Linked DNA regions of Tamandua tetradactyla. The protein of the gene in region 1 interacts with the protein of each later gene in a biochemical or structural test. Links are inferred from orthologs where the notes say so. Each region holds a gene or a part of one and is shown in the gene's direction. Other genes may lie near its edges.

Region 1 (7,048 bases):
GGTCATTAGGAACAGACAAATGAATATTGCTTCATCATTTGTTGTTAATATGTTGAGGACATTCTCCACTATTTCAATCAAATAAGTTTCCATGTGAGAAACTTATAATTTAGGCCCAGGAAAATGTTTCTACCCCCAAGAATCAGAATAGAAAGAGCTTTTGCCTTGGCTACCACTCATGGCAGCTACGTTAACCTATGTGGTTATTCTATCATCTTCTTATGACCCCGTACCCATTCTTATAGGACAATATTTTTGACTCTTGTTTTAAATACCCAACTTTTTTTTAGCGGTTGGAAAATAATACATTTGTGGAGGGTAAGGAAGGACTTACAGCCCCAACTGCTGTGAGAGCCACCTGCAGAACACCTTCAGCTGTTGGCTCCCTCTAAGGGAGCCCTCTGGCCCTGTGCTCTTCCCAGGGCAGTCCACATCCAATGACTGGTTGAGGCGGGGCTATGAAGACCAGCCAGTCCAGCCCTAGCTGGACAACAGAACTCCCTGAGGGTTGGCTGAGCCTGTCATCAGGCTCGCATCACAGCTTGATTTCTCCCTCTGCCCACTCCTGTTTCCTTCCTCTTCCTTCCACAGTATTGATCCCAAGGGCACTTCCAAGTAAACATTCTGCACACTAACCTCTGTCATAGAGTCTGTTTCCGAAAGAACCCAACTGCAACAACATTTAACAAAATAGAAAACAGATTACGTAGTGTTATTATGGAAAGGCGTGAGGATATACAATAAATGCTTATACATACACAGGAGGCAACACAGCATTGACTCTGGAGCCAGGTTGCCTGGATTTGAATCCCATCTCTGCCACTTATTAGCTGTGTGACCTTGGGCATATCCCTCAACCTCCCTGTGCTTCAGTTTTCTCATGTGTAAAATGAGGATACTAACAGTGCTATCTCAGTGTTGTAATGTGGGTAATGCTGTTACATGGTGTTTACTACGTGCCAAGCACTGTTCTAAGTGGTTGTTAAATAGAACAAAATAAATCTGTGAGGCCAATCCCGCAGGGCCGGAGGAGCAGCTGAACGACTTCTCCCCAATTTCCAGGCACAGGCACTGGTGTAGGCTAGGGCATGTTGAAGCATGAGTGTTCACAGAAATAGGCCCAAGCACAGCTTGCCCGGGTGATGTCACGGATGTGTGCTTGTGTGGGTGCTGGGGCTACTCCCTCCCAACCTGTGTAGCTACACGTATTGCCAGTAGCACCCACGTACTCATATTTTTACTGAGCTTGGGGAAGCCCAGGCCAGCTACACCCTTTGTTGCCCTGTTTTTCTAGAACTGCCTTTGGCAGAGGGAGGCACCTGAGACCTGGGATGCTGGTCTAGAAGTTCCAGGAGGAAATGGGTCTTTGTTTCCTCATCAAGGGACCTGGCAGCAGACTCAAAGCACAGGCTCCAGGTGGCAGGGATTTCTGGAACCCCTGTGGGCCCAGCCCCAGCAGCAGAAGCAAAAGCAAAGGAGTATGGTCTGCACACTGGGAAGCATCCAGAGAATGGAGAAACAGATCTACAAAGTGCAATTCAGCCCAAGTCAGAACAGGGAAGTTTAACAAGGGCTGAAGCGTTTAAGAGGGGATCTTCTAGGGAAAACGGACAAGGTCTGGTTAGGCTGGTAGAGGGGGGGCTCCCATTCAGCCTTCACCTGCCTTCCTCCTTATCTCCTTATTCCCTACTCCCTCCCTTACTAAACTCTGCCTTCTTTCTATTTCTAAACTCCCCAAACTCTTTCTGGCCTCAGGGCCTTTGTACATGCTGTTTCCTCAGCCTGGAAGGCACTTTCCTCCAACCCAGCTCTAATAATTCCCCTGAATATTTCTAATGAATCCTAAAGAGACCTTCCCTGTCTACTTGATCTGAGGTAGGTCTCTCTAATGTTTTCTCTCACAGCCCCCTGTTCTTTTCCTTCCATCACAGTGTTTCTTAAATTAATGTCTGTGAATTCTGGGCCCCTTTGTCCTCCCAGCTTGTGGTTCTGACACCTGGCAGAGGTGTGCTCAGGTTCTGTAGTCAGGGACAGTACCTCTTTAAGCCCAAACAAGCCCAAGCTGCACCCTATGAGCAACCATGTGCTGCTGGATGCTATGTTCTGCCTCTTCTCACCCATACTGACGAACCAGCTAGCTCTATGCCCCCTGACTACTCACTGCCATGGCCTGCTTAAGCCAGGGATTCTCCTGTGAGGCAGAAACCACACAGCATCAGACTTGAGTTCAAATCCCAGGGCATCGACTTGTTTGTTATGCGGCTCAGGGCACGCCGCAGACCTTCTCTGCATCTCGGCCTCCTCAGTAAAATGACAACGATACTGTGAGATCAGAGAGTGATTGTGAGGATCAGGTGTGATCACAAGCACAGACCGTGAGTTCCTTCCCTCCTATTCTAAAGGGCCGTCGCTAGGTGGCAGTCCATCTCAGCTGCCCCATATCCTCTTGGGCCCAAGCTCCATGAAACTATTAGGACAAAGCTTTTCAACTTCATGCTGGAATTCTGAGCTTTTTAAGAGCCATATTCAAGGGAATCACAGACAAGAACAAATGCACAAAAAAAGTTACCACTACACCAAGACAAGGTCAGAGGCAGCTCCAGGCACGGCACTAGTTCTTGTACAGTTCGGTTACCAAAGTGAGCGCCCACTCTTCTAGCCTCAGTAAACCTGGAAGCTGCTGGATGCTGTACTGGGCCTCTCAGCCCTGACCACCTGCCTGGCTCGACGCGGTGCTGTGACAGGGGGCTGCTAGAGTGCAGGGACGAGTCCAGGGAACAGCTTCAGAAAGACAAAGCGTGTGATAGTCAAACCACCACAAAAAGGCCTTGTGGCTGGGGAATGGAGAGTGAAGGGAAGGAGACGAGAGGGAGGGAATGGCAGGCCTTCTGGGCCACAGCCAGGAGTGTGGTTTTTAAGTGCAATGGGAAGTGAGGGAGGGCTTCAGGCTGGACGAAGGGGAGCATGTTTTAATTTCATTTTAAAGATGAAAGCATGGGGAGAGGATGCAACAGACGGGAAGCGGGCAAGACCGAAGGTGCGCTGAGGTGGATGAAGGACACTGGGACTGCGGGACGAGAGGCCTTGCAAAGAATGCTCAGGCCTGGAGGGCGTCTTCCACCGGGCGGCTCTCGAGGACCACGCCGGCCGCAAAAGCGGGACAGGAGTGGGTCTGGTTAGCCGTGGCAAGAGAGGCCCGCCCGCCAGCCCCGCACGGCCAGAGGGGAGGAGGTGGGACAGGACTGCTGCCCATCAGCAGCCGCCGGCCAATCCGCAGACGACCCCGCCCCCACCCCTCCCCTGAGAGGGCGCACGGAGGGCCCGCCCCCGCCGCCGCCGCCGCCGCCGCCGCCGCGGGTGTGAGGCGGCCCGGCCTGGCTCCCTCCGCCGGGCATCTCGCCCAGGTAACTTGGTTTGGCCGGGCGGGCCCAGGAGGCGATCTGCACCCTCTTATCTCCTCCCCGTGGCCGCGCGGGCGGCCCTTGGCGAGTGGGGCGGGCCGTGGGGGCTGAGGAAAAGGCTGCGGCTGGGCCTGTGCGGGACGGCGGGCTGGGCGGCCTTCTGTGCCGGTGCGACTGACCGACGGGGCTGACGGCCGGGCCCTGCAGCCTGGGGGCGGGGCCGCCGTGCGGGACGGGGGCCGTTCGTGGCCGTCAGGCTGCGTGCGGGCTGCGCGTGGAGACTCGGAGGGACGACTGATTGAGTGGGAGCGGCGTGCGCGCGCCCGGGGCCATCACGCCCCGCGCCCCCGCCTGGGGCCTGTCCGGGGGTCGCTGGGCGCAGGCGCGACGGGCCGGCGGGCGGGGGTCCTCCCCACGCGCGCGCGGTCGCCTTTGTTCCCGGCGCGCGGGCCGGGGCGGGGTCTGCAGGGACGCCCCGCCCCCTCCCGCTCAGGCCCCGCCCCTCGGTCTCCGCCCGCAGGAGCCGCCGCCGAGTCCCGCTCGCCGGCCGCCGCTGCCGTCGTCGCTGCCTCTTGCTCCCGGCCGGCCGGGCCTGCGTCGCCGCCGCGCCCCTCGCTCCGGCTCTCGCAGCGGGAGCCATGGCCGGCGCGGGGTCCCCCTGCGCCAATGGCTGCGGTCCCGGCGCGCCCTCGGACGCCGAGGTGCTGCACCTCTGCCGCAGCCTCGAGGTGGGCACCGTCATGACTTTGTTCTACTCCAAGAAGTCGCAGCGACCCGAGCGGAAGACCTTTCAGGTCAAGCTGGAGACGAGGCAGATCACTTGGAGCCGCGGCGCCGACAAGATCGAGGGGGCCAGTGAGTGCGCTCCTCCGGGGGCCCGCTGCGCGCGCGGGGGCGGCGGGGAATCCGGGCCGGGCTCCGGCGCGCCCCGGCCGGCGGCTGGAACAACTCGGACAAACTTTCGGCCCTTCTCCACCCCCTCCGGTCCCCAACTCGTTTCGGGTGGTCACCGGGGGGGCGGGGGTATCCGGATCCTCGGTCACCTGACAGGACACCCCCTCCCCCAGCTGGCCGCGGCCAGCCTTTCTTCAAAAAGAGCGGTCTTAGTGAAACTGGACCATCAGGCCGGGGCTCTCATTTGTAAAGGAGCCTTTGGGTTCCCTAAGGAGAACTTAGGAAGATGTTGGGGGAGGACTGGTCTTGGAACAGAGCCAGGCTTTCTCATCCCCCTCTTGGGAGGAGGGAGGAAGGTGGTCCTGTTTGCTTTGGAAAAGCCGCAGAGAAGGCAATGGCTGCTCTTTCCTGCTGCTCCTTTTGTCCTGAAGCTGAGTTTTGGAGGCCTGTGTGGTCAGCAGACACCCAGAGCCAGGGCAGGGACTCACAGTGGGTCCAGCTCCCTTGAACTTGGGAGCACATTCCTAGGAGCTTGACCTCAAAAAAGGCCAGCCTGAGTGCCTTGGAGTCAGGTATTCTTTTCAAGAATGCTCACCCAGTTTGGAATTAGCCCTTTTTGTCCTGGGTCCGGTGGTTGCAGGGAGCTGGGAGCCAGAAGCTGTTGCTCTTGGTTTCCTGCCTCTTTCCCTTCCCAGTCCTGAGCTTGGCTGCTTTGTGCAGGTCTCTGGTGGGAGTTGGAGGATTCTGTAAAACCCCAAATCTTTGGGAGTTTTACTCTGTTTAGTATGTGCCTGTGCTGTGGCCGGATGGGCACTCTGCTCTGCCCTCCATTTCCCCACCTCCGAGTGTGGAGAGATGATGTGACTGCAACTGTAGGCTGTGGTTTGCTTCCTGCAAGGACCCCAGCCGCTCCTGTTAGAGAGCCATGTTCAGAACCAGGTCCATGTGGAGGAAGGGGGTCAGGAAGTGCCGCCCCCAAGGGAGGCTCCTCCAGACCTTCCTGGCTAGGGTGTACATGGGCTGCAGATGTGCTAGGCGATTGGGAAGAAAGAAGGAAGGTCTTGTGAGGCAGCCAGCCACAACTACAGACTCCAGATCTGACAGAGCCGCTTGAACCGTACCCCCATCTTAGCTGTCCAGTCACTGGGGGGAAGAGTTAGGGTGAGGTGGCTGTGGACCCCAAGGGGAGGAAGGACAGACACTGCCAGCTTTGGTGGTGCCCCCGTAATGTGCTAAATTTGGTGGCACTTTAAACAGTGGCTGCCCATCAGGCAGTAAGTGTAGCACGGTGGTTGGAGGTGGGCTGTGTTTGAAGCCCAAATATGAGTGTGTTCCCCAGCCAACCACTTCTCCGCACCTTAGTTTCCTCATCTGTAGAACGAGGGTATAGTATATCCATTCATATAGTGTTGCCGTGGGGATTAACTGAGATCACTGATGGAAAACATCCAGCACGGTGCCTGCCATGTGGTATATGTTTAGTGCATGGGAGCTGTTATTAATAAGCATAGTGTGGCCGCCCTCCTAGACCCTGACTGGGGAAGGTTGAGGGAGGTAGAGTGTGGCTGCAGGAGAGGATGAGCTTGCTAGGAAGGAAGGAGGTTGGGGACCAAGCTCACATTTACTTAGATCATTACCTTGAAATAGGGAGGAAATGGTTTTGCTTTGCCCCAATCCATCTCCACCCCCCACCTACCTACCACGTAGAATGGTATTTCTGCAGGGAAGGTATTTGACTATCTTTTTTCTAAGTTGGGGCCTGAGAAGTGTGGAGGGGAAGTCTAGTCCATGGTGTCTCAAGTCTTTGGGGACTGGAGGCAGAAATGTGGATTGATTACCCTATTCACCAAGGATGGGGTGGCTAGATGTGTACAGATTCAGTGATCTCATCAGGTAGCTGTGGATTTGAGAGGCCTGGAGGGGAGTAGGCAGAAGGTGTGGGAGGGGCCCCAACCCTTCATTTTGGGGGGCTCAGGTTGAAGGAGTCTGGGTAAAAAGGCTTGTAGGTTACTTGAGCAGAGCTCAGTTCTTGTCAGTGTAACCTCCCTCTGAAGCCTTGCCTTGCTTCTGCCTGTGCATTGGGTTCACCCTCTGGTGGGCTCCAATCCCTGCAGCCTCCTCTGCAGGCTCCGATGGGCTGTGCTGTGCTGACCAGAGGGCAGAGGAGAGTTGGGCTGCCAGCTCGGCCCCCTGCTACCTGGCCTCTTGCCCAGGGGCCTCAGGGGCCTGTCTTTCCCCTGCTGACCCTGCCAGGGTACCATGCAATGCCTGTGGCCTGGCCAGAGAGAGGAGCGTTTGTGTCTGTGGGCCGGAGGAGAAAGAGTGTGGTTCAGTGAAAGTGCATGACGCTCGTCTGTCAGACCTTGTCGTGTTCTAACTCCACACCCTCACTTGACCGCCTGTGAAGTGGGGCTAGCACCTGTTGATTTCTAGGGCGGGGGGTTTGGCTCAAAGGAGGAGTGGGGAAGTGCTTTGGTTGTGGTGGTGGTGTAACAGGGACCAGGTTGTTGTTTGACTTTTTTGTTGCAAATACTGACATAAGTGAATGAAAAACAATAGACTGCCTGCTGGGTTCTGTAGACTTAGTTGTGTGTTCGTGGCTAACTCTCACAAGGGTCCATCCATTTTACAGATGAGGAGATGGAAATACAGGGAGTGGAGTATGTCACAGGCGATACTGCTAGTGTGAGACAACCCTGGTGGGACCCAACTCTCCAGCTAGTGGCTGGCCAGCCAGTCCCAAGATGACTCCA
Region 2 (7,335 bases), on another chromosome or scaffold:
ACTCAGTATGGTAGAAGCTCTTTTATTCCTTTCTCATGAAAAAGGGCACACAGGAATAAGCAGCAAGGAAGAGCAGAGTATCAGAGAGGCCAGGCTCCTTTTATCTTAGTTCCTAACACAGAGAAGTCCCTTCCCCCCACCACCACCCTTCACCAGTGGCTGGTTACTCAGTAGCTACAATGTAGTCTCGGAAACTAGCAAAGTATAGGTGAGTTTTCTACTCCTTATTATCATAATTATTCATTCCGTTTTTAACCAATCACAGATTAGGGTGGGTTGACTGCTTAATTTGCATATCTGACTGCGCTTATCTAGAGGGGATCAATTGAATAAGCTTTATGCTCTAAACACCTATCATTTTCTAGTAAACTTAATCCTTCAGTATCATATGATGACGTAATTTCGGGGGAATGTGAGCCAGGTTAGGTCTAGATTTAAAAAAAGGGGCTTCCATACTTCCTTATATGAGTGGGAGTGTAAGCTTCCCTTACAATTTAAATTAGGCCCAATAGCAGTGTGATTGGCCAACATTGAAGGATGCTTGTTTGTTGAAGCACAATTATATATACCAAAGAAGTATTACTCTTCATCCGTTTACTAAGTAAATAGATGAATTCTTCTATTTTTCTTCCTAAAAGAGGTTATACAGATGCTTAGTTACAATATATTTTAACTTGGCCAATCTAAACGGCATGATCAAGTTTAAAGAAAATCGTAAAATACAGTTTTAGAATATGCCCCTCCCCCCACAATTAAGTCTCCATCGTGTTACTATTACCATTTTAACAATTAAGTTAATAAAAGGCGTACTTAGCTGCTGTAAAGCCGCGGGGGGGGGGGGGGGGAAGAGGGCTATCACTACGTTAGTGAAACATTAGGGCCCCGGAAAAAGTTTTTTGTTGTTTTGTTTTAAATAACACTTGCTCCAATCTTTCCGAGACCTGCCACGGTAACAAAATCCTACTCTCAAGCCGAGGCACGTGGGCCCTTGTGCGTCCTTCCCGGCCCTTCCTTCCGGAGTCTGAGAACTGAAGAAACTGACTCAAGCTGGGGGCGTGCCGGTGGGCGGACCCAGCTATGTCCGCTCTCTGGAGACCGGAGCCCGAGTGTAGGAGGCGCCCGGTTACTCACGGCAGGACCCGCCGGGTCCACAGCTGTCCAAGCGCTGGAGAAGAGCCGGGTCCCCGCCCAGAGCAGAAATGTGAACTCTGCCCTGAGAAAAGGCGTCGGGTTAGTTAGTGTCTACCCCAAATACACGGTAATACGGCTCCGATGGCTTCGAAGGTTCTTCGGCACAAGAACTGAGTTCTCCATTCCCTCCGCCAAAATCGAAACCAGTATGGCAACATTAATAAGAGCACCCAGACGGTGCTGGAAAGTAGGTTACTTGGATATGAATCAAGGATTTGTGTATAATTTTCCTTTTCCTTAGGTGCCATTTTAAAAGCATATCCTTTAAGATATTTGTTTATGAAGTGCTTATATTCTGAGATAGCTTTGGATTCGCACTTCCTTTTTCCTTTATCTCAGCATAATTAGAAGCTGGATGCCATTATTCACAAAGAAACATCTTTGTGTCATTCTGTTACTTTATATTTGAAGTGCTAATTTTTTGTTTTTTTAAACTAATGGAAACTAAGATTGGCATACTAGGAAAGGGTGAAAAGGTGGGATTTCAATCAGGGGAACTGTGATTTTTATAAGCTCTTGCTGTTGGTCATCTTTTCAAGAATTCCACAGTGCCCAGTATGTTGCTGAATACACACACAAACATATCTACATATATGTGAAGAATACTACTTAAATTATAGCAGATCCATATGTTCAAACAATTCAACTGAAAGCATATGTATCTCCAGTTATTACAATTTTAGGATTGTATAAAAGCACATATATTTATAATGCCATTTTCAGTGATCTATGTATGTTTCACTCCTCACCTTAATTTACTTAACAAATTATCTTTGATACTTTCCCTTTTACCAATATCCACTTTCATTTTGACTTATTTCTTCCTGAGATAGCTACAGTTTTGGATTCCATGTAAAAACTTTCAAATATTCAACTATCAGTTTTTCTTTAGTCTTTGATTTCTTTCCTCATCACTAAATAACCATTTTTTTTATATTCCCAAAAGTTTGCCATTCCTTTTAAAGTCCTGTTAAAATATTTTATGTGCCCCTATATTATCTCCAAGCGTATATAAGTCTAAACCAGTTGAAGCATACACTGCTTAAGGGGGCACGGAAAATAAATCTTATGTGGTGCTCTAATCTTTATCTGAAATAAGTGTGCAGTCAGTATTACAGTTACATACCACTATGGCTGACTGTGGGAATCTAGTTCCATAGAGAACAGTCATTAATGAACACTTCCAAGGAAATAAACAAGAAAGCAGAGATTCTTATGTTGTTCTTTTGCTGGTAATGGATTTTCATTGGTACATCATTTTCTTATTATAAACAGGGACTATGTTGTCAAGATATGTGATATGGGCACTAGGAAAATGCAATGTGAAAAAACAATTTTTGAAAGGCAAGAAGCCAGAAATACAGGCATTATAGACAAGGCTTTTGTGGATAGAGAATACTAGCTATCTTTATTGCTAGTGAAACTTTGTGCCTAGTTTCTTTTATTAAACTTATCTCAAATGAAACAAGAAACATTCCAATGAAAAAATAGAGAAACCTGATTTTAGAAAGTTTTATCTACAAAGATATAGGAAGGCTATTTTAGAAGACCGTTCATTAAAAAATAAATTCTGAGATATAACTAAACCCTAGGATTAGAACCATATTCTACCATGAACTAGAAAGTAAGCAACATACGAGCTTGTGTTTAATTGCTTCCCAATCGTTTTATCTTAGTTTTCCTCTTCCAACTTGATTATAGGTTCCTCTCTAGAATGTGATATTTCTTTTGCATACTTCACTGTCCTTTGCTTAGTCCTGGACAATTATTGCCACTCGAATACAATACTTAAGTTCTGAGAAGTTGGGCAGTGATGTTCTATACTTGGAAGAAGAGACATAATGATCCAGTAATTAGCTCATTAAAAATATAGGTGTTTTTTGTTGTTTTGTTTTACCTCAGAGCACTTCGCAGGGACTAACTTGATAGGCAAAAAGGTCGAATCTTATCCAATCTCGCCCTTGATATTTGCTAAACTGCAGTTAGTCAATACGACAGAAAATGAAGCCATTTACCTAAATGGCATAGGCCATTTTTGAATTTTTGAAAAGCGGTGATTTAAAAAAAATCACAAATCCAGTTGTGGATAGGAGACTGGGTGTATACGCTTGGCGATGCTGTCTTGGTAGATTTCTATCACCACATGAGATCATGTGGAAAGACTGAAAGATTCTTCTTACATTTCTCACGTTTGCAGTCTAATGAGTACACTGGGAAAATGTACCACAAGGATACACGCACATACGCACTCGCGTGTGACCCGTTAGCCAAAGGAAAAGAGTTAGAAGAAACGAGGTCTATTCTAAACCGAAAAATTGGACGTCTGGCATTAACACGGAGGGGGAGGGGATGAACGTGTGACGGCTTTGATAAACGCAGCTGGCTTTGAATGGAACGAGCCAAGAGGCCTGCGTGCCCAAGAACAGATTCGTCGAGCCACGGTCATCGAGTTGAACCCCTTACAGATGGTAGGGGCTGGAAAGGCGACCCCGGGGTCTGCTGGCTTCGGTTGGATCCCTTTCCAAACCGGAGGGGCGTGAAGGACAGCGGTGGAGGAAGAGCCAGCCCCGGTAGGGATGAAGCCAGCGGAGGAAGCGGTTCCTGGGGATTGTCTACGACCTGCGAGAGGGCAAAATCGAAGAGGGGAAGCAGAATGTGGGGTAAGGGGATTTTCCAACCTCGATACCGCGTTTGCGATTAAACCAGGACTGGCAAAAGAAAAATTCTGGACGGCCACTCCCGGCCGCCCAGCTCCCCACCCTCCAGCCGGAGCGAGAGTAATTCATACAAAAGGCGGATTCGCCTCTGCTTTAGGGAATCCCAGGGGCCGTCGTAAAACTCCCACTATCCTAGAACAGAGGGATCTGTGTGTCCCCGCCCCCCACCCACTGTCTTCTCGTCGTCGTCGGGGTCCAGAGGAGCATGCGCCAGACTCTGTGTGTTCTTTGGTTGGATGAACGCACATCGCCCACGGTCCCCGAGAAGAGAGGTGGGGGAGGGGACGGCAATTGAACCGGTGCCTGGTGGAGGAGGCGCGGGGTGAACTGGGAAGCGGTGTCGTGTTTGACTCCACCCCTTTTCCCGAGGGTGGGGGAGGACCGTATATAAGTGCCGCAGTCGCCCCGAACGTTCTTTTTCGCAACGGGTTTGCCGCCAGAACACAGGTAAGTGCTGGGTGTGGCTCCCTTGGGCCGGGCCTCCTTGAACAGCTGGCAGCTGTCGCGTGCTTTTTGTTACTTATGTCTCTGTCGACCCACATTTGCGGGGTTCTTGACCCCGAATTTCGGGTTGTAAGAGGAAGAAGGTGGGAGAATTCGAGGCCTTGGATTTTCTCAGGAGCCCTTTTTATTGCTTCAGGTGAGGCCTGGCTTAGGCGCCCGGGCTGCCGCGCGCGAATCTGGCCGCTCATTCGCGTCTTTCTCGTTACGCCTCGGCCACTTGACTTAAATAAGCAGTTGGGGTATATTCTCATTGAGGTAGTTTAGTCGTTGTTGGGGCAGGACCTCGGCAAGAGTAAGGCTTTATCGGGCGCGTCGTCGGGTTCCTCGGGTTGTGTGACTGCCGCGAGGCGTGGAGGGTGGTGGAATCCAGTTGTCCCGCGCACATGTCCGGCGCGGCCTCGGCCAGCCGAGGCGGGCTCCTCGGGGCGCGGCCACCGGATGGGCGAGGGGTGAGATAATGGGGTTGGCCCAGCGGCTCCGGTGCCCAGTCTGCCCGCCCCCCCCCACACCCCCCGGAGAAGTGAGGTCGGTTTTTGCTCGGCACCAGTTGCGTGCTCGGAAAGATGGCGGCTCCTCGGCCGTGCTGTAGTGAGCTCAAAATGGAGGACGCGGCGGGTCGGCAGAGCGGGCGGGTGAGTCACCCACACAAAGAAAAAGGGCCTTTTTTCATTGTCAGACGCTGCTTCCTGTGATCCTACGGAGCAGTGGGGCATAGTCATGTCATTTCGATTGTGGCCCCTACCGCTCCGGAGGAAGGTTTCCTCAGCTTGGGGGGAGGGGATTTTCTGCAATGGAGTCACCACATTGGTGGGTGGAGACTAGTTAGGCCAGGTTGGCAATTGGAAGGTAGTTCTCCTTGGAGTTTGCCCTTTTAGTTTCCATCGCGGCTTAAGTTTCTCGGATGGTGGTTAAGAGGTGTTTTTCTCCCGCCCCCACCCCCCATTTAGGTGTCGTGAAAGCCATCACTACATCTTAAGCCAAAATGGGAAAGGAAAAGACTCATATCAACATTGTCGTTATTGGACACGTAGATTCGGGCAAGTCCACCACAACTGGCCATCTGATCTACAAATGTGGTGGAATCGACAAAAGAACCATTGAAAAATTTGAAAAGGAGGCTGCTGAGGTACTAAAGGGAAAGATGGTTAAGGGAGAATGCTAAAGTTGACTAGCTGAAACATAAGGTACCTTCTAAAAGGTTGACCAGTTAGTACATTTTTCTAAATGATCAGCAAAGACTTTCTGCGAGGCTCTTAGCTTTGTAGCTATTTTTGGAAATTAAACTAAGACCTCCAAGGGTTTGCAGTTTATAAAGTGGAATTTCAAGATGGGGTTTGATACTGTTTGAGTTAACAAGTAACCATTCTTCTATTACAGATGGGAAAGGGGTCCTTCAAGTATGCCTGGGTCTTGGATAAACTAAAAGCTGAACGTGAGCGTGGTATCACCATTGATATCTCCCTGTGGAAGTTTGAGACCAGCAAGTACTATGTGACCATCATTGATGCCCCAGGACACAGAGACTTTATTAAAAACATGATTACAGGCACATCTCAGGTTTGTAAATTTAATAACTTGGAAACATAACTGCGTTTAGAATCTCTTTCAGGGTTCAGTTTAATGAAAGCTTTCAATAATGCAAGGCCTTGATTTGTTCTGAACACTTCTGTAGCATCTAAATTCAGCTTGATAACTTTGAGGAGAACTTTGATTTAACAGGATATGACTTTTCTCAGGCTGACTGTGCTGTCCTGATTGTTGCTGCTGGTGTTGGTGAATTTGAAGCTGGTATATCTAAGAACGGGCAGACACGAGAGCATGCCCTTCTGGCTTACACGCTGGGTGTGAAACAACTAATAGTTGGTGTTAACAAAATGGATTCCACCGAACCACCTTACAGTCAGAAGAGATACGAGGAAATTGTTAAAGAAGTCAGCACCTACATTAAGAAAATTGGCTATAACCCTGACACAGTAGCATTTGTGCCAATTTCTGGTTGGAATGGTGACAACATGCTGGAGCCAAGTGCTAATGTAAGTGACTTTTTGAGAATTGTTAAAAAGCTTTGGAGTGTCTTTTGATGTCAGTAATTGGTAGTTTCTTGTTCTTAGATGCCTTGGTTCAAGGGATGGAAAGTCACCCGTAAGGATGGCAATGCCAGTGGAACCACGCTGCTTGAAGCTCTGGATTGCATCCTGCCACCCACTCGTCCAACTGACAAGCCCTTGCGTCTGCCTCTTCAGGATGTCTACAAAATTGGTGGTAAGCTGAATTTAAGATGTAACTTAAGGGGGGGGTACCCAGAATATAGTTTTCACATAAGATGTTGATAATACTTTGTATCTAGGTATTGGTACTGTGCCTGTGGGCCGAGTGGAGACTGGTGTTCTCAAACCAGGCATGGTGGTCACCTTTGCTCCAGTAAACGTTACAACTGAAGTCAAGTCTGTTGAAATGCACCATGAAGCTTTGAGTGAAGCTCTTCCTGGGGACAATGTGGGCTTCAATGTCAAGAACGTGTCTGTAAAAGATGTTCGTCGTGGCAATGTGGCTGGTGACAGCAAAAATGACCCACCAATGGAAGCAGCTGGCTTCACTGCTCAGGTAACAACACAGTTTAATTGCTACGTTTTCTTAATTGTTGCAGAGCCTGAGACTCACTAAATTAAACTTTTTTTAAAGGTGATTATCCTGAACCATCCAGGTCAAATCAGTGCTGGCTATGCACCTGTGCTGGATTGTCACACAGCTCATATTGCTTGCAAGTTTGCCGAGCTGAAGGAGAAGATTGATCGCCGTTCTGGCAAGAAGTTGGAAGATGGTCCCAAATTCCTCAAGTCTGGTGATGCTGCCATCGTTGATATGGTTCCTGGCAAGCCCATGTGTGTTGAGAGTTTCTCTGACTATCCTCCTCTGGGTAAGG
Region 3 (7,749 bases), on another chromosome or scaffold:
CATTGGGAGGCTTCCAGACTGCTTGGGGAAGGCAGTTTTCTTCAACTGAGCCAATCCCCAAAGGGGACTGACAAGGGCGCGTAGTCTTCCTGCAGCACTTTGCAACTGTGGGAATAAGACTTGCATCACAGCCTCCTCCCAAAGATTAAATGAGATCATTGACATAAAACCTTTAACAGAGTACCCAGAATACAGTAAGCACACTCAGTAAATCATAGCCATTACAATTTTCATTGTTGTTTTTACTATTATTTGCCCCCCATAATAGATGGTAGAGAAACAGTGGAGATGAAGGGTCTGCCCCTGACCTCAAGAGAATTAATCCATGACAAATCGGACAATCAGACAAACAACTGCCATGCATGTAGCTGAAAGGGTGACACAAGATTTGCACGAGAGTACTTAGAAAGGACACAAGATGCAGACTAGGATGAGGGAAGGGATGCCAAAGACTTGAAGACCAAGAGGAGTCAGGCCAAGGGAGTGGGAGGTAGATGGGGGTGGGAGAGAAGGTACCCAGGTGGAGGAAGAAGCGTGTGTGGAGGCAAAAGAAAGCGCAGGGTGTGCATGATTTAATTCAGCAGGGTGGGTACATAGTGAACACTGGGGATGGGGGTGGAGGGGGGAAGGACCTGGGTACACCAGGCCAAGGAGTTTGGACTTTGGTATACAGAATGCAACCAGGAGCCATCAAAGGATCTACTCAGAGAAAGGACACCACCCATTTTGCGCTTGAAAAAGGTCACTGTGGCTTCCTTGTGGGTCATGGAGGGGAGATGAACAAGACTTGAGGCTGGAGACCCATTAGGAGGCTGCTGCTGGAATCCAGATGAGAGATGAGGGTGAACTGGGCCAGGCTGGTGGCAATGAAGATAGAGGAGAATTGACAGAGTCAAGGAACATTTAAGAGGTGGAGTCTACAGACTTGGTGATGATTGGATAGTAGGAGAGAAGAAGGAATCCAGGGTGAAGCTCAGGCTGGGAAAATAAACTTCAGAAATCTTGGGGAATGTGTACCCTAAGACTGGAGAAATTGCTACTTTGATTTAAATATATATATATATAACATAGTGTGATGGTTAGGATTATTTGTCAAGTTGGCCAGATGATGACGCCCAGTTGTCTGGTCAAGCAAGCACTGGCCTAACTATTACTACAAGGATATTTTGTGGACTGAAATTATCAGTCAGTTGATTGCACCTATGGCTGATTACATCTTTGATCAACTAAGGGGGGTGTCTTCCCCAATTGGAGAATCCAATCAGCTGGATTTAATTCAGTCAGTTGGGGGGCTATTAAGGGAGAGGTGAGACTTCAGCAGTCAGAAGAGAGAACTTTTATCTCTACCTCAGCCAGCCAGCCTCTCCTGGAGAATTCATTGAAAACCTTCATCAGAATTGCCAGTTTGCAACCTGCCCTATGGAATTTGGATTCCTGCATCCCCACAGTTGTGTGAGATACTTTGTAAAATCTCATATTTACAGATATCTCCTGTTGGTTCTGTTTCCCAAGAGAACCCTGACTAATACACATAGTATATAATGGATACTATATAATGTAATAAATAACATAAACACACAAAGTAGACTATACATTCCCTAAAGGGAAGAGACCATGGTATGTATTCAATAAAAGTAATCTGGTTTGTTAGTTATCTGAATTACCAAATTTTGTAAAATAACCCAACTATTTTGTATTCAATTTTACCTTTCTTAGATGGATGTGAAGGTACTTTGCATTCATCATTGTGAATATTTACTTGTCTTGTGGAACTTTATAGCTATAAAGGACTAAGCTAAATTAGGGCTACCCCAAGGCATGCTGGATGGACTTTTGGAATCATTAACTGATATCATCTCATTCACTTAAGCATTTATTAAGCAACTTTGATATGCCAGGCACTAGGTCCTGATGATACCAAGAAGAATAAAAGCCAGTTCCTGCTCTCAAGGAGCTCACAGTACAACAGAAGACACAGAAAAAGAAAACAATTCCTGACTTTTTAACAGGCATACGACAGAGAACTACACAGAGTGATTCTGGGAAAGGCAATACCCTTAGACTGGCAATATCAGCGTGTTTTTTGTTTTTGTTTTTTGGGGTTTTTTCCCCCACGAAAATAGAAGAAATTCTAGTTACTCAAGCTTTGGAGTTAGTTGATTTGATATGTAATCCCTCAGATTATTCCATAAAACAAACAATACCGTGTTCCCTTTCTCTCTGTAAAATAACTTACCAAGTATATTGTGGTCAATAAGCAATACAGTAAGTTCTTCCAGGAGAGACAGGATGGAAAGCAGGACTCTGTCTCATTTGGTGGCAAGAAACCCTCTAACCAAGTCTCCCCATGTAACTCATCTGGTTACATCTTTCTGAACTCTGGAGCAGTGGCTAAAGCTGATGGGAAAATCTGAGCAAAAGTCAAGACTCACTGTCTGGAACTCGGTGAAGAAATACCCAAGTTTTATTCTTTTTTCTGGTCTGTGTATCTGAGGCCTCCCATTGAGGCTATGTCACAGGCTTCTGGATTAAGACAGAGGTTACTCTTACCAGTGAGAAATTCTACAAGAAATCTGTAATAAAGCATAGCCTGAAGAAACTTCTAACCAGCTTTTAAGACTCAGGGCTCTGTTTTAGACAAATCCATAAGTCCCTCGTGGCACACAACCCTCAGAAGCAATTAGGTTAGTTCCAGAGAAACTTGCTTCCTCCCTGCTTCTGTCTAGCAAAAGAAGAAAAGGAAAGGAAAAAAAAGATCAGCAAAGAATGCCGTCAGTACTTAAACTCACACTGTAGTGGAAAGTAAATTGAGCAAAGGAAATAGGAATAAAAACTCACTTTGGATTCCTCTTCAATGAACATCAACATTTACTGAATATGGATTCTGGACCCAGCCTTGTGCTCAGGGCTTCAGATATGAAGACACATTAGACACCACGAGTGACATGAGGGTCCAGGGCCTTCAACAGTAATATTTCTCATGGTAAATCAGTGCATGGCATTCGGGTTTATACATCAGTCTCTTGTATGTTTGGTGAGCCGACACAGTCCTTGTAGTCTAAATCACCTGCATGTTTTCACAAAATTGAATTTTGGGACTTCAAAGCTGCTAAGTATACCTTTGTAAGTGGTGATCATTCCACTGGAAATGATTGATAGGCCTTCCTAGCTCTAGAAGGAGTGAGCTAAGCATAGGGAGAGGCAAGGGGGTCTCTTAGAGTTCCAGGATATTCTCTGAATCTGAGTTGGAAAATTGGGCCTAACATTAGTCCAAAAAAGCTTCCCAGTGAATGAGTCTGCATGCCCAAAGATATAAAATGGAACCTCCCAAACATTCTCTTTTCTGGGCAAAGACCTCCCAGGTGACTCAGGGTGCTTAGTTGAGGTTACAAATGCAACCACCTTTTAATCAACCGAACAAATCTTTTTACTGGTAAAAAAGATTTGGCCCCTACTTCCCAAATAGAGGTCACAATTTGCAATTTTATCTTTCAATCTGGTAGCAAAAACCAAACTCTACTTTAAAAAAATAATAAATTAGAGGGACCAGGATGGTGGAGGGGTGGGGAATAGGTAATTAAGGCTTGGGTACAGCTCCTGTTAGGGTGATGTCAAGATTTTGGCAAGGGACAGTAGTGATGGTAGCACAACATTGTGAATGTAATTAACACCACTGTATTGTATACTTGAAAGCGGTTAAAGTGGAAAATGTTGGGTACATGTTACCACAATTTTTTATATGTGACTTTTCTTTAGAATTGTTCACTGCAATGAGAGTTTCTGTATTTGAGACATAAGATTCAAAGAGAATAAAACCATGGTTTTTCCTTCTTCAGGTTTCAAAAAAGAAGGCAGGTGAGTTTCCATGGCACTTACATTTTCTGCCTGACTTTGTTGATGGTGTCAGAGCAGTCTTCCAGAACTCCTCCCTATCAGTCCCCGGGCCCCAGGAAAGCACATGATTTTCCTAATATCAGTGTATTGGGGCGGGGGGCAGCGGGGGGGAGTGAGAGAACTGTAGCTAAAAACCACCCAGAAGGTTCACAATGCCTTCGTTTCTATACGAAGGTGGGGCAGCCGCCACGCAGCGCGGACTCCCACCCCTGCGAGGAACACCCACGCGGCGCAAAGCAGTCTGAAAACCGAAACCGGTCCTGGGGACACCGGAGGACGCCCCCGGGCGGGGCCCGCGGACCCAGCTGACCACCAGCAGGCGAATGTCGCGAAGGCGTCGTCGCTCACCCCCGGGCGACCTCTGCCGGGCAGCCCCAAGGAGGGAAAAGAGGAGGAAGGAGGGCTCCGGGTGGGAGGAGGGGCGGCCGGCCCCCCCCCAGGCCCCGCCCCGAGGCCCCGCCCCGCCGCGCCACGCCGCGCCATGATTAGAGCCGATGACTCAGGGCGGAGCTCCGCATCCAACCCGCGGGCGCCGCCAAGTTCTCTGGATGGGACCAGAAGTTTCTACCCGGCCAGTTGCTACGTCCCTTTATCTCCTCCTTCCCCTTTGGCAGTGAGGAAGCTATTTCCAGACCCTTCCACCCCTCTCAGGCCACGTCACCCCCTCCTTTAATTCATAAAGGTGCCCGGCGCCGGCTTCCCGGACACGTCGGCGGCGCGCAAGGCTCACACTCCGGCGGCGGCGAGGTCCTCGCAGCGGCGGCCCAGCGACTCGGCGCCCAGGAGGCCGGCACCCCGCGACCCGGGATCCCGCGCCCCAGCCCTCGGGGACCCCGCACTCCGCGCTCCGGCGGCCGCCACTCCGAGCCAACCCCGCGCCCAGCATGAGCGCAGCCACCCACTCGCCCATGGTGCAGATGGCGTCCGGCAACAGCGCCGGCGACCGCGACCCGCTGCCTCCGGGCTGGGAGATCAAGATCGACCCGCAGACCGGCTGGCCCTTCTTCGTGGACCACAACAGCCGCACCACGACGTGGAACGACCCGCGCGTGCCCCCCGAGGGCCCCAAGGTGAGCCGGACCCGCGCCACGCCCCGGCCGGCGGCCCCACCTCGACGGGGGAACAGGCCCGGCCCGGCGGCGGCTGGACTGGGTTGGGCGAGCGCGGGGCTGGCCCCAGCTCCCAGGTCCCTGCACCGGGGGTCGGGGCATCCCACCCCGAGCTCGCCCTGCTGCGCTTGGCCAGGCCTTGAGAGGCGTGGGGGTGACGGAGTGCCCCGGAGAGGTCAGTCCTCACCGCGCCGCGTTTGATTTTGCGAGGGGATTGAGGGGGACGGGGAAGTGCGACCCGGGACGGGGTGGAGGCATGGGCGTCAAGAGCTGTCCCCAAGTTCCCGGGCTCGGAAGGGGCGGCGGGCCTGGTCAGCGGGAGGCCTGGGCCCGGCCCTGCCGCCGGCTCTGCTCCGCGTCCTGAGATAGTCGTTACTGGAAGGTTCTCTCATCCGCCGACCCCTGGTGCCTGGGGGATGGGCTTTTCCGAATTTCCCCCTCTACTTCTGGACAACTTGGTTGACAGTTATTTTGACCTTACTCTCCCGGTTCGCGGACAGAGTGACTCAGGACGCTGATATAAGTAGTCTCTTTTTTTTTCTTTTTAAAATTACTGTTGTATCGTTGTTTGAGGATTTTTTTGAGTAACATTGAGTTTCAGTGTGATTTGTTAAAAACAAGATGCTGTTCTTCCAGGCAGTTGGCCCTTCCCTTAAGACTTCGCCTCAACTGGAGAGAAAGAGAATGATGATTTTTGTTTGTTTTAATGGTATGTGTTCCCTTCCTTGTAATGGCATTAAAATATTTAGGATTTGTTTCCCATACACAAATAACTAAGTAATAATACTTATATACAGCAGAAATATGCTTCATCTAAATACATGTAAGAGTATTTACTTCTTAACCCTTAGAAGCATGACAGTTTTTATACATTTGGTAATTTAAAAAATTATAATTAGTTGTATTGAAACAATTTTCTACAAATTAAAATTTTTCAAAATAGAACGTTTGCAAAAAATAGTGTACTTAAAGGGTAACTTAATATTGTCTGTGCAAAATAAAAGCAGTAGAAACTGGTAAATTATTTTGAAGATTTAAAAAGTCACAGTTAAATATGCTTTGCAAGGCTTTATTTTAGAAGAAAGACCTTTATGATGTTCTGCACCTTTTTCCTTTAAAATATTGGTAAAACTCTCGTGTCCAAAAGTGATGTATCTTACACTCAGCAGTTTACATTTACAAGGAGTTAATTGCATCTTTATTTCTGAAAATTAGATCTAGAAGGTGTAATTAGCTGGGTTGGACATAATTATATGCACCTTTTTGTGTGTTCTCCCTGTAGAGATGGGCTTGTTAGAAGCTGCTGGCACCCTTTGTTTTCAGTGAAGATCAGGTTTAAACAAACACTGGGAGTTCAGTATGAGACCCAAATTGCCAGCACTTTGTTTTCAACATGGAACTTTCTCAGGGAGTTGGATTGCTTGCTGCTTTGCTTCCCGTACCCGCCGGGTGGATGGGTTAGGCTGTAGTTTCATAAAACTTCTTGAGGAGAAGAAACAGACCGAATTACAATAATTACTTTAAAAAATACATATAGAAAGTAAGAGCTACTAAATCAGAAGTCTGATCCTGGGAAAGGTTAAATACAATGTAAAATGCACAGTGAGCAAAGGGCCCCAGCTAAGAGGACATTCCAAGCATCCTCACCTTTAAGAGGAAGTGTTGTCAATCAGAAGCTATTCCTTGAGCATCTGCAATTTGGGAAGTACTTTTTCTGCAAGGACTCAGCTTCAGGATGTTTAGGGTCTAACCGTGTTGGTAAAGAGGTGGCTTTCATGGAAGGAAAAGACTAGAACTTAGTGTTTTATTTAGTCATTTATACTCCATCTTCTCACAGCTGACTGTACCACCTTCCCCTGAAGTGGTTAGAGTGATTCTTTCACCCCCGTTTTTCAGAGGAGGCAGTGGAGGTCTGTTTTACCCTTCATTGCAGAGCCGGGAAGGTTCGAGACAAAGGTGTTGAGTTTTATCCACCTCCATTGTAAGCTGTGGCACCTCCCCACCTGCAGTTTTCTGGATTTCAGTTTTCTACACGCTTGGGCTTCCCACGAACTGCCTGACAAGTTCCTATCAATCCAGACCCCTTTCCTGGCAGAGAGGTTGGCATTTGCTTAGGAATCAGGAAACCACTCTTTCCTGGTCTCCTCCCTGAATAAAACAGGTTGGGTATCTTGGAGTATCGTGCACAAACCTCTGGCAGGAGAAAGAGACCCTCCTCTCTCAAGGACCAGTGCTGCGAATCTCCAAATCTTAGAGGTCGTGAGCACTGATTTCCAAGCCTGGCTGTGTCTGGGGGAGCCTTTTAAGAACACAGATTGCCTGCTGCGTCATCAGCCCCACCCTGCTCCCCCCATCTCATCCCTCCAACATGTTTAATCTGAATTGTTCAGGGTGGGGCTCAAGAATCTCTGAATTTAAAATGCCTCCCTCAGGTTTCTGTTTACCACCCTGGCAACAGGGAGCCCCTGAAGGACTGTGATCCCCGTTTTGTAGAAGAAGCTGCTGCTTACTGTGCCCCTGTCTGTAGACCCTGGGCTCCTTCCCAAGCAGTACCTGCTTAATATCTCCCCGGCAGAGCTTTGCTTGGCGCCGCTTTTCTTGGTGAAACTCGCCCAGTGCCTGGTGTAAGGCTTTGGTGGGTGTGAGTATGCAGGAGGCGTGGTGAGGGAAGGAAGACAGCACCCCACAGAGTCTGGCAGGGTGGCTGTGCTGGGCATAGGGAAGTGATCAGACAAGATGTGGCATT
Region 4 (7,404 bases), on another chromosome or scaffold:
TTTGAACATTGGCAGTTCTTTCAAGTGGGTTTTATGTCCCTTTGGGAAACCCTTCAACATTGTGTGCAAGTATGTGTGTGAGTTTGAGTATTTGAGGCTTGAACACTTTTTATTACTTCCTAGGGCTACAAGAAGCTCCAGGTTCCCATTATATATCTCCTGTCCCTGTCCTAGAATCGTCATTTTCCTAAGGGCTCCTGGCTCCTTTTATTGTATATTAGTACTAGAAACCAAGTTTTGGACACTACGTTTTTGCTTCTGTATTTATGGGAGAGATTCATCTTTAATTTTCCTTTCTTATCACATCTTTATCTTCTTTAGGGATTAAAGGCATGCTTGCCTCACAGATGAGTTAGGATTTGTTTCCTGTGTTTTTATTTTCTGGAAGAGTTTTCCATGTAATATCATAATTTCTTCCCTAAGTATTTAGTGGGATTTACCATTAATACTATGTAGGCCTTTATTATTTGGAAGACTATTAAATATTGATTGAATATTTAATAGATACAGATCCATTGAAGGCATCAAATTTTCTTTCTATAAGTTTTTGTAGCTTATGGCTTTCAAGGAATTGGTATATATTAACAATATTATCAATTTTGAGGTAGAGATGTTCGTAATGCACTTTTAAAAATATTTTTAATGTCAGTGGAATCACCAGTGATAATCCTTCTTCAATTGCTGAAATAGCTCATTTGTTTCTTCTCACATTTTCTTGTTTAGTCTGGATCTATAGATTTTATTTATCTTTACATAAAACTAGATTTTGATTTTGCTGTTTTATTTTTATTTTTTCCCATTTTCAATTTCATTGATTTCTGCTCCAATTTTATTTTCTTCAGCTTGCTTTACATAAATTGCTCTCCTTTTGTTTCATCACTTCAAGTTGAGTGGTTCTATCACTTTGCAAATAAAAACTCCTCTCTAGGGTGGTGTGACAGTGGCTCGGTGAAAGAATTCTCGCCTGCCAAACAGGAGACCTTGGTTCAATTCCTGGTGTCTTTTTCCGTATCCTCTTGCTCACTTTAGTTCTGCCACATATTCAGCAAAATATTCTCTTTATAAGGAACTTCCCTCTATGCCTGTTATTCCCAGCTCATAAAATGGCAGTTGTATCTCTCTAATTTCTCAGGGCAAAAAGCTAGACAGCATCTTTAATTTCTTCTTCTCCACCTCTTCTGACACCCATTACACAATGCATCATCAGTCTTATGACTTCATCTCCTGTATAATTCACCATGACACTCCAGTTCAACATTTCATCACATCCCCGGGGTGACTTCTTTCTGCATCTCCAAAGGCCTAGGCTGAGCTGTGAGTGCTGAGATGAGGAATGCCGAGCTGCTTAGCCGTGCTACCTTGTGATCTCTCATTTAAGCACCAGCCAATTAAGTCAAACGTCAATCATTGCAGCAGACAGGCCTCCTAGCCGACTGCAGATGTAATTAGCAATTAGGTACCATTGGCTTATGTCCGCAGCAACAAGACTAGGTATGCTCACCTGGCCAAGTTGACAACTGAATCTAACTAACACAATAGAATACCTAGCAGCAGTCAGAAGCAAAGGACTAGAAGGCCAAAGAGTCAAAAAAAAGGTTGTTTGTTTTATTTTGTTTTATAAGATGGTAGCTGTCATAGCATGTTCATATGCTGATGGAAATGATCCAGCAGACAGAAATATTGGTAATACAGGAAAAAGGGGGATAATTGCAGGAAAAACAGTCCCCAGGTTTTGGACTCCATACCTGGAGCATGTGGGGATGGGGTGACATTTGGCCTTAAAGAGAAGCAAAGAAACTTCATTGTAACAAGATGGAAGTCAGTACATAACGTGTGGATGGAGGTAAATGGGTCAGGTTGGTAATAGGAAGAAAAAGATGTTTTATTTTGATTACTTCTATTTTCAGATTAAATATGAACCAAAATCATCAGTTAAGAATGAGTGTTGGAAAACAGCAGAGAGCTTTCACCAATAAAGCCTCCTTTCCTTTCTGTATTTATTCAGTCAGGCAACATCCAACAGAGATGGCTCCTTATAGGACAGCTCTTTCCAGTGTTTATATGCTTGATGCTTAGCATGATGTCTAAATATTGAAGAATGTTTGGTGTTCTTACCCAGCTCTTGAGGAGTACGGATTGAAACAGCCCTAAAACCAAAGAATATGTCAGGCACAAGTTAGACATGATGACCTGCCAAGAGGAGATTCTTCTTCCCAGCGTCAGCCATTCGGAAATGGAAGTCAGCCCCCCAGAAAGGCGGGGGTACAAAGGGACAGCTTATAAGGGTTCAGGACAAGGACATTTCATAGGGTATGAGAACAGAGTTTTAGCAGGGTCTCATGACACGGGTTTGGGAATTTCTTATCAACATATCAGGGAAGCAGAGTTTCAATGATTTACAAGATAAAGGGTTTAGTATACCATCTGTACATTCTTTTCCTCCTCCTGAAGATAACTTCTTTCTGTCACGTAGGCAGCTACATGCAATGAGTTACTCTCAATATGGAGGGGGAGACCCGGCCCTGGGTCGCCACAGGTAGATATCAGCAAGCACAGGTTGGGATCTAGTTATGGAGGGTGGGGTAGTATTGATGATAATATCACTAAATGCAACTATTTAGTTCATCGAATACTTCTTAAAGGATCGAATCCGGTAATTAAGAGCTCTACCTGCCTTTTCTCATTAAATCCAAATCACGACCTGTTTGCAACTGTTTATTTATAAAAAGGAAATCAAGGATAGCGGAAAATTTGCCATCTGGAATTCAAATTTCAGAATCAGGGCCCTGAATACTTTACCTTGAGGTAAGGGAGTGATTCAATGAAAAGACCCTTTGGTCTGGGGGATAGTAAGTGAAGATGGAGACCCCCTAAATTCTATTAGCCCAGTTATCTCCCGAGAGTTTGATTCTGAGCAGAGGAAGCTTCCGTCTCAGCATGAAATCCTAGTCAAACATCCTGATTCCACTGTCACCAGAGCTTCTATTTCCAGTTCTATCAAACATGTTGCCAAGCTCACATAATTTTTGTCAGTGAAACATTCTCTAAGGTACTACATTTGAAGAAACAGTTTGCAAATTAAGCGGTCTAGGTATTTATATGTCAAAGGTGTCGCTGTTACCACTATTATGGCTAAGAGAGTGGTCTAGGTGGGGGTCAAAGCCCTCTATGTTGCATATCAATACCGAGCAGGTTTAAAGAATTTTTGCCGATCAGTGTTGGTATGGGGGAGTTTTCTGCATGAAGGTTTAACTGTTCTGGAATTATTGGGGAAAATTATTCGGGTGTCTCTGCGAGACCCAGGATTGAAGTGCCCCGGCTGCCCCCCAGGGGCACGGGTCGGGTCCGCTGGGGTCAGGCAGGGTCTCGGGCAGCCACCCGCCGGTCGCGCGGCGGCCTCTGACCTAGATCTGGGAGGGTGCCAAGGGTCCAAGTGATTCGTGGACCCGAATCACACAGTCTCTAGTGCCCTCTGTTCGTGCTCCTTCATCGCCAACCCCCTCCTTTCCAACGAGAGCACGCACTTGGAAAGCTCCGGGGAGGGTGTGCGGGAGCGCCTAGGGAGGGGACTGTGTGCCGACCTGAGTCCCAAGAAGATCCGTCGGGAACTGGGGCCGCCCCGACGGCGCGGTCAGACTCCAGGGTGGAAGGGGAGGCAGCTGTTCTCCCAGGCGGCCGTGGGGGGCAGCAGAGCGGACGGCGACAGGTGCGGAAGCCCCTCCCGGGGTGGAAATGCAAAGGCGGGCTCCAGGGTCTGTTCCCAGGCTGGAAACCACCCCCGCCCCCCAACCAAATCCCCCGGAGAGGCCCGGCCGGCGCCGGGTCTGGAGGAGGAAGCGGCCGGAGACAGTGCAATTTCACGCAGCCTCTGGGGCTCGGGTTCCTGGGCAGAGTGGATGAGTTATGGGGTATCGAGCCCGGGGAAACTGAGGTGGCCGCACATGAGGCAAAGAACGCCCTCTCCCTTCGAAAAACACACACAGAGGGAAATATTCACATTCAGGGAGAAAATCCCCAGGTGATCCAACCGGCTGGGGGAGTTGAGCGATCTGGTTAATGGGCGAGGCCAGATTTCAGAGGGCCGGGCTTTGGAGCGCTCTCCCCACCCCCATTACATTTTCCAGGATTTGGGGGGCATTTGGACTCTCAGTCTCCTCTTAGCCCAGCTCGCGAATGAAAAGTAGGATGGGAACTTCTTAGCCTGCTTGACTAAGAAGAGGGAGTCCCCAGGTTGCGGGGCACTGGGGCGCGGGGCGCTCTTGGGGCGGGCGGTCGAAGGCTCCCGCAAACCCTACTCCCGCCCCGCGCGGGAGGAGGCGCGGCCGTGACTCACCCCCTCCTCCCTGTGCGCCCTCCCTCCCACTCTTATAGACACACACACCCCTTCCCTCCCATCCGCCCCGGACTCCGGCTCCAGTTGCAATTTGCAACTTCTGCTGCCGCCGCCACTAATTCGCTGGCGGCTCAGGTGGCTCCCGCTTCGATGTCCTAGTCCAGGGGCCCTCGGGCCGGACTCGGTTGAGCTTCCCTCACTCTCCACCGGAGTCATGAGGGCCAGCGCGCCTCTGCAGGTGCTGGGCTTCTTCCTTAGCCTGGCCCGGGGCTCAGAGGTGGGCAACTCGCAGGCAGGTAAGCGGCGCCGGAGCCTTTGCAGGCTCTGGAGCTGGTGCCCCAACCGAGAGCGTGGAGCCCCTCAGGGCAGGGGCAGGGTCTCAGGCGGTGCGAGACTGGGGATGTTGGCCCCAGGTTTGCGGGGACCACCTGGGAGGCGATGGCCAAGCTCAGAGGTTAGGGTTCTCGGCGTCCGCCGGGCGGGGACGGGATTCGTGGACCAGCCCCCTACTAGCGCGTCGCCGACCCTCTAATTCGTCCCTGGTGATAGGGGCAGTACCCACGTAGTAGTTTACATTTCTGAGGGACTCTACGGGGGCAGGAGCGGGGACCTCCGTCCTGTAAGCGCCAGGAGATGGTTGGAGATGGGGACCTGCTCCCCAGCCCCTTCCCCCTGAGTTTCAGCCACCTCCAGTTTCGTTGTTTTGCCGACAGGGCGGAGCTGCGGTAGGTTTGGGGTGTGGGGTGGGGGTGGTTGTTGTTCTCTGGTGTTGGAAAAACAGGAGCGGCACCTCCTCTTCCGTGAGTTGGCCTGCCCTGGGGGGGGGGGGGTGCTGAGTTAACGAGAGGGCCAAGTCCAGGTGACATCAGGGTGAGAGGCCCAGCAGAGGCTGCCTGCCCGCTTTCCCTCAAAACAACAAAGCTGGCTGGTCTCCGCCTTGACCAACTTCTCTTTGTCAATACCCAGGTTAATTCAATATTTATTGAGCATCTACTATACACAAGGCCCTTGGCAAGAAGCTACAGAGGCAGGACTTCCAGACTCTGTTTCTCCTATTTGTCTTTTTTACCCCCAACCTAAGATCCAAGAGGACACTTCTACCACCTCCTGAGGCTCCTGTTCTGGGAGTCCTTCCCAGGCCCCACTCCTTACCCCTATTCTGTTTATTTGTGTTGAAGAGACAGAGTCTCAGATTGCTCTCTATTCCTCTCTGGACTCCCATGACATCTGAGCCCCTTTTAGGTGTCTCTGAGACCACAGATACCTGAGGGGTGCTGGAACTGGAGAAGTCCTATTGATCTCCCTTCCCCCAAGTTTCCAGCTTGGTATTTGGCAGAGCCAGGGCCCCTTCCCCAGGGTGGGAGTGGGAGAAACACCTGTGCTTCACCCACAGTTGCTGGGCCTAAATTTAGACCCTGGGATCTTGAGATTTGAACACTCCCAGCTGGTGAAGGGCGGGGGTCTGGGGATTGGAGTACGAGGAAGTAGTAAATTGACTGTATCTCTGTCCTCGGAATCTTAAACGGAACCCTGGAGTCCGAGATTCTGGCCTCTGTCTCTAGGGGAGGCAGGAGGCAGGCATGGTTGGGTCTTTTTACCCTTTATCTGGATTCTGCAGCCTCTGGGCATCCGGCCCTGTCTCAGTCCTTCTATAGCCCCTTTGTCCCTGCTGGTTGTGATGGGGGTGGGGGTTGAGGAGGGGTTGGAGATTCTTGCTGTGTCCCTCCCCCAGAGCTTTCTACCAAAGGAGGGCCTGTGACACTGCCCCTCCCCATGCCCCTGGCCTCTGGCTACAGTCCAAGGTTTTACTAACTCCAGTCCCTCTGCCCTCTCCTCAGGCTGCCTAGTTCGTCCCCAGAGGTGTTATTTATACTCTCTCCCCACCTAGGCCCTTTGCTCCCTGTTTGTGTAATATGGACTTTACCCTCAGAATGGTGGAGGACTAGAGATGTATCTCTAATACTGTAGCCTTCCAAGCATAGACACAAAGTCTTCACAAACTCATATGGGCAGGTGGGATGGATGGGGACACCTAAATACTTCCCATGGGGACACCTAAATAGTTCCTAATCAGGAAGACCCCATAGAGAGCCCTGGGCCAGCAGAGGAGGTTTGCACACGTGTGTGTGTGTGTGTGTGTGTGTGTGTGCACGCATGCATACATATGCCACTTCCTTGTGTAGAAATCTTGGCTCCTCCCTTATCTGGGGAGAAGGATTGGCGCCTTGACTTGGAAGAGGGGGTGTCCTGCCAGGAAAGGGATCGGGGTGGAGCTGTTCTAGAAATGACTAACCTTCATAGTCTTTTTCATTTCACCCAAAGGACCCTGGAGTCCCCATGCTTCTCTGGGAGTTCCTGACCTGTTTACCTCTTTGTTGGGTCTAGCTCACCCCTGCGCTTGGTGGGTAGTGTTAGGAAAGGGAAGCCCTCAAAGGTCAAGTGGTCAGACTTGGGGTGGATCTAGGGAGAGGGACTTAAGCCTCAGCCATCTCTCCCCCCACCCCCACTCCTGCCTCCCACTAAGCTGGCACTGCCTCAGGGAAGGGTGGTTGGAACAGGTGGTATCTACCTTCCCCCCCACCCCACGCACAGTCTTTCACTGAGTCAGAGGAAATAGACAGGGGTAGGGGTAGACCAAGAGTTCCAGAGCCCCTGTATCTCCCACATAGATAAGGTAAAGTGGACCCCAAGATGACATGCTTCATGTCCCTCTCCCCTAATGCAGGTAAGGATTGCCCTGTTGGAAGGCCTGGCCTCTTAATGAAACCCTTCTAACAATGAAATTGGGTAGAGGGCTTGGCGGTTCTGCTGCTGCTTCCCTTCTGGCTTCTCTGCATTTGCTGAAACTAGAAAGTATCAGGCAGAGGGAGCTGAAATGTGTTGGAATAAGGGAAAGGAGCGAGAAGGGAAGCCAGGGTTTGGGAATAGGATGGGGAGAGGGGTAGGCAACCAGCCCCTTATCTTCCTGCTTTAAAGACAAAGCTGCTATTGACACGCCCCCCTCCGTTCCGCCAAAGTCCCCTCCCCCCACCAGTGAGGTCATTTGTCTGAACCCAAGACTTGAGGGGCCG

What was found.
Region 2: the proteins of PLCG1 (region 1) and EEF1A1 form a complex in vitro, tested with the Homo sapiens proteins (2 studies listed by BioGRID, with this or other methods). The link is inferred for Tamandua tetradactyla from reciprocal best matches to the Homo sapiens genes PLCG1 and EEF1A1.
Region 3: the proteins of PLCG1 (region 1) and BAG3 form a complex in vitro, tested with the Homo sapiens proteins (2 studies listed by BioGRID). The link is inferred for Tamandua tetradactyla from reciprocal best matches to the Homo sapiens genes PLCG1 and BAG3.
Region 4: the proteins of PLCG1 (region 1) and ERBB3 form a complex in vitro, tested with the Homo sapiens proteins (2 studies listed by BioGRID and IntAct, with this or other methods). The link is inferred for Tamandua tetradactyla from reciprocal best matches to the Homo sapiens genes PLCG1 and ERBB3.

What each region holds. Positions count from the first base shown.
Region 1 is NC_135327.1:11,016,364-11,023,411, reverse strand, and holds the start of PLCG1 (1-phosphatidylinositol 4,5-bisphosphate phosphodiesterase gamma-1), read left to right. Parts: upstream 1-4,039; coding exon 4,040-4,256; intron 4,257-7,048. UniProt on the Homo sapiens protein: Mediates the production of the second messenger molecules diacylglycerol (DAG) and inositol 1,4,5-trisphosphate (IP3). Plays an important role in the regulation of intracellular signaling cascades.
Region 2 is NC_135331.1:129,525,711-129,533,045, reverse strand, and holds the start of EEF1A1 (elongation factor 1-alpha 1), read left to right. Parts: upstream 1-4,332; 5' UTR 4,333-4,355; intron 4,356-5,359; 5' UTR 5,360-5,394; coding exon 5,395-5,538; intron 5,539-5,789; coding exon 5,790-5,969; intron 5,970-6,148; coding exon 6,149-6,445; intron 6,446-6,523; coding exon 6,524-6,674; intron 6,675-6,759; coding exon 6,760-7,016; intron 7,017-7,094; coding exon 7,095-7,329; intron 7,330-7,335. UniProt on the Homo sapiens protein: Translation elongation factor that catalyzes the GTP-dependent binding of aminoacyl-tRNA (aa-tRNA) to the A-site of ribosomes during the elongation phase of protein synthesis.
Region 3 is NC_135339.1:82,090,706-82,098,454, forward strand, and holds the start of BAG3 (BAG family molecular chaperone regulator 3), read left to right. Parts: upstream 1-4,742; 5' UTR 4,743-4,778; coding exon 4,779-4,964; intron 4,965-5,137; exon of another isoform or gene 5,138-5,178; intron 5,179-5,212; exon of another isoform or gene 5,213-5,709; coding exon of another isoform or gene 5,710-5,712; intron 5,713-7,749. UniProt on the Homo sapiens protein: Co-chaperone and adapter protein that connects different classes of molecular chaperones including heat shock proteins 70 (HSP70s), e.g. HSPA1A/HSP70 or HSPA8/HSC70, and small heat shock proteins (sHSPs), e.g. HSPB8.
Region 4 is NC_135333.1:123,144,778-123,152,181, forward strand, and holds the start of ERBB3 (receptor tyrosine-protein kinase erbB-3), read left to right. Parts: upstream 1-4,394; 5' UTR 4,395-4,547; coding exon 4,548-4,629; intron 4,630-7,404. UniProt on the Homo sapiens protein: Tyrosine-protein kinase that plays an essential role as cell surface receptor for neuregulins.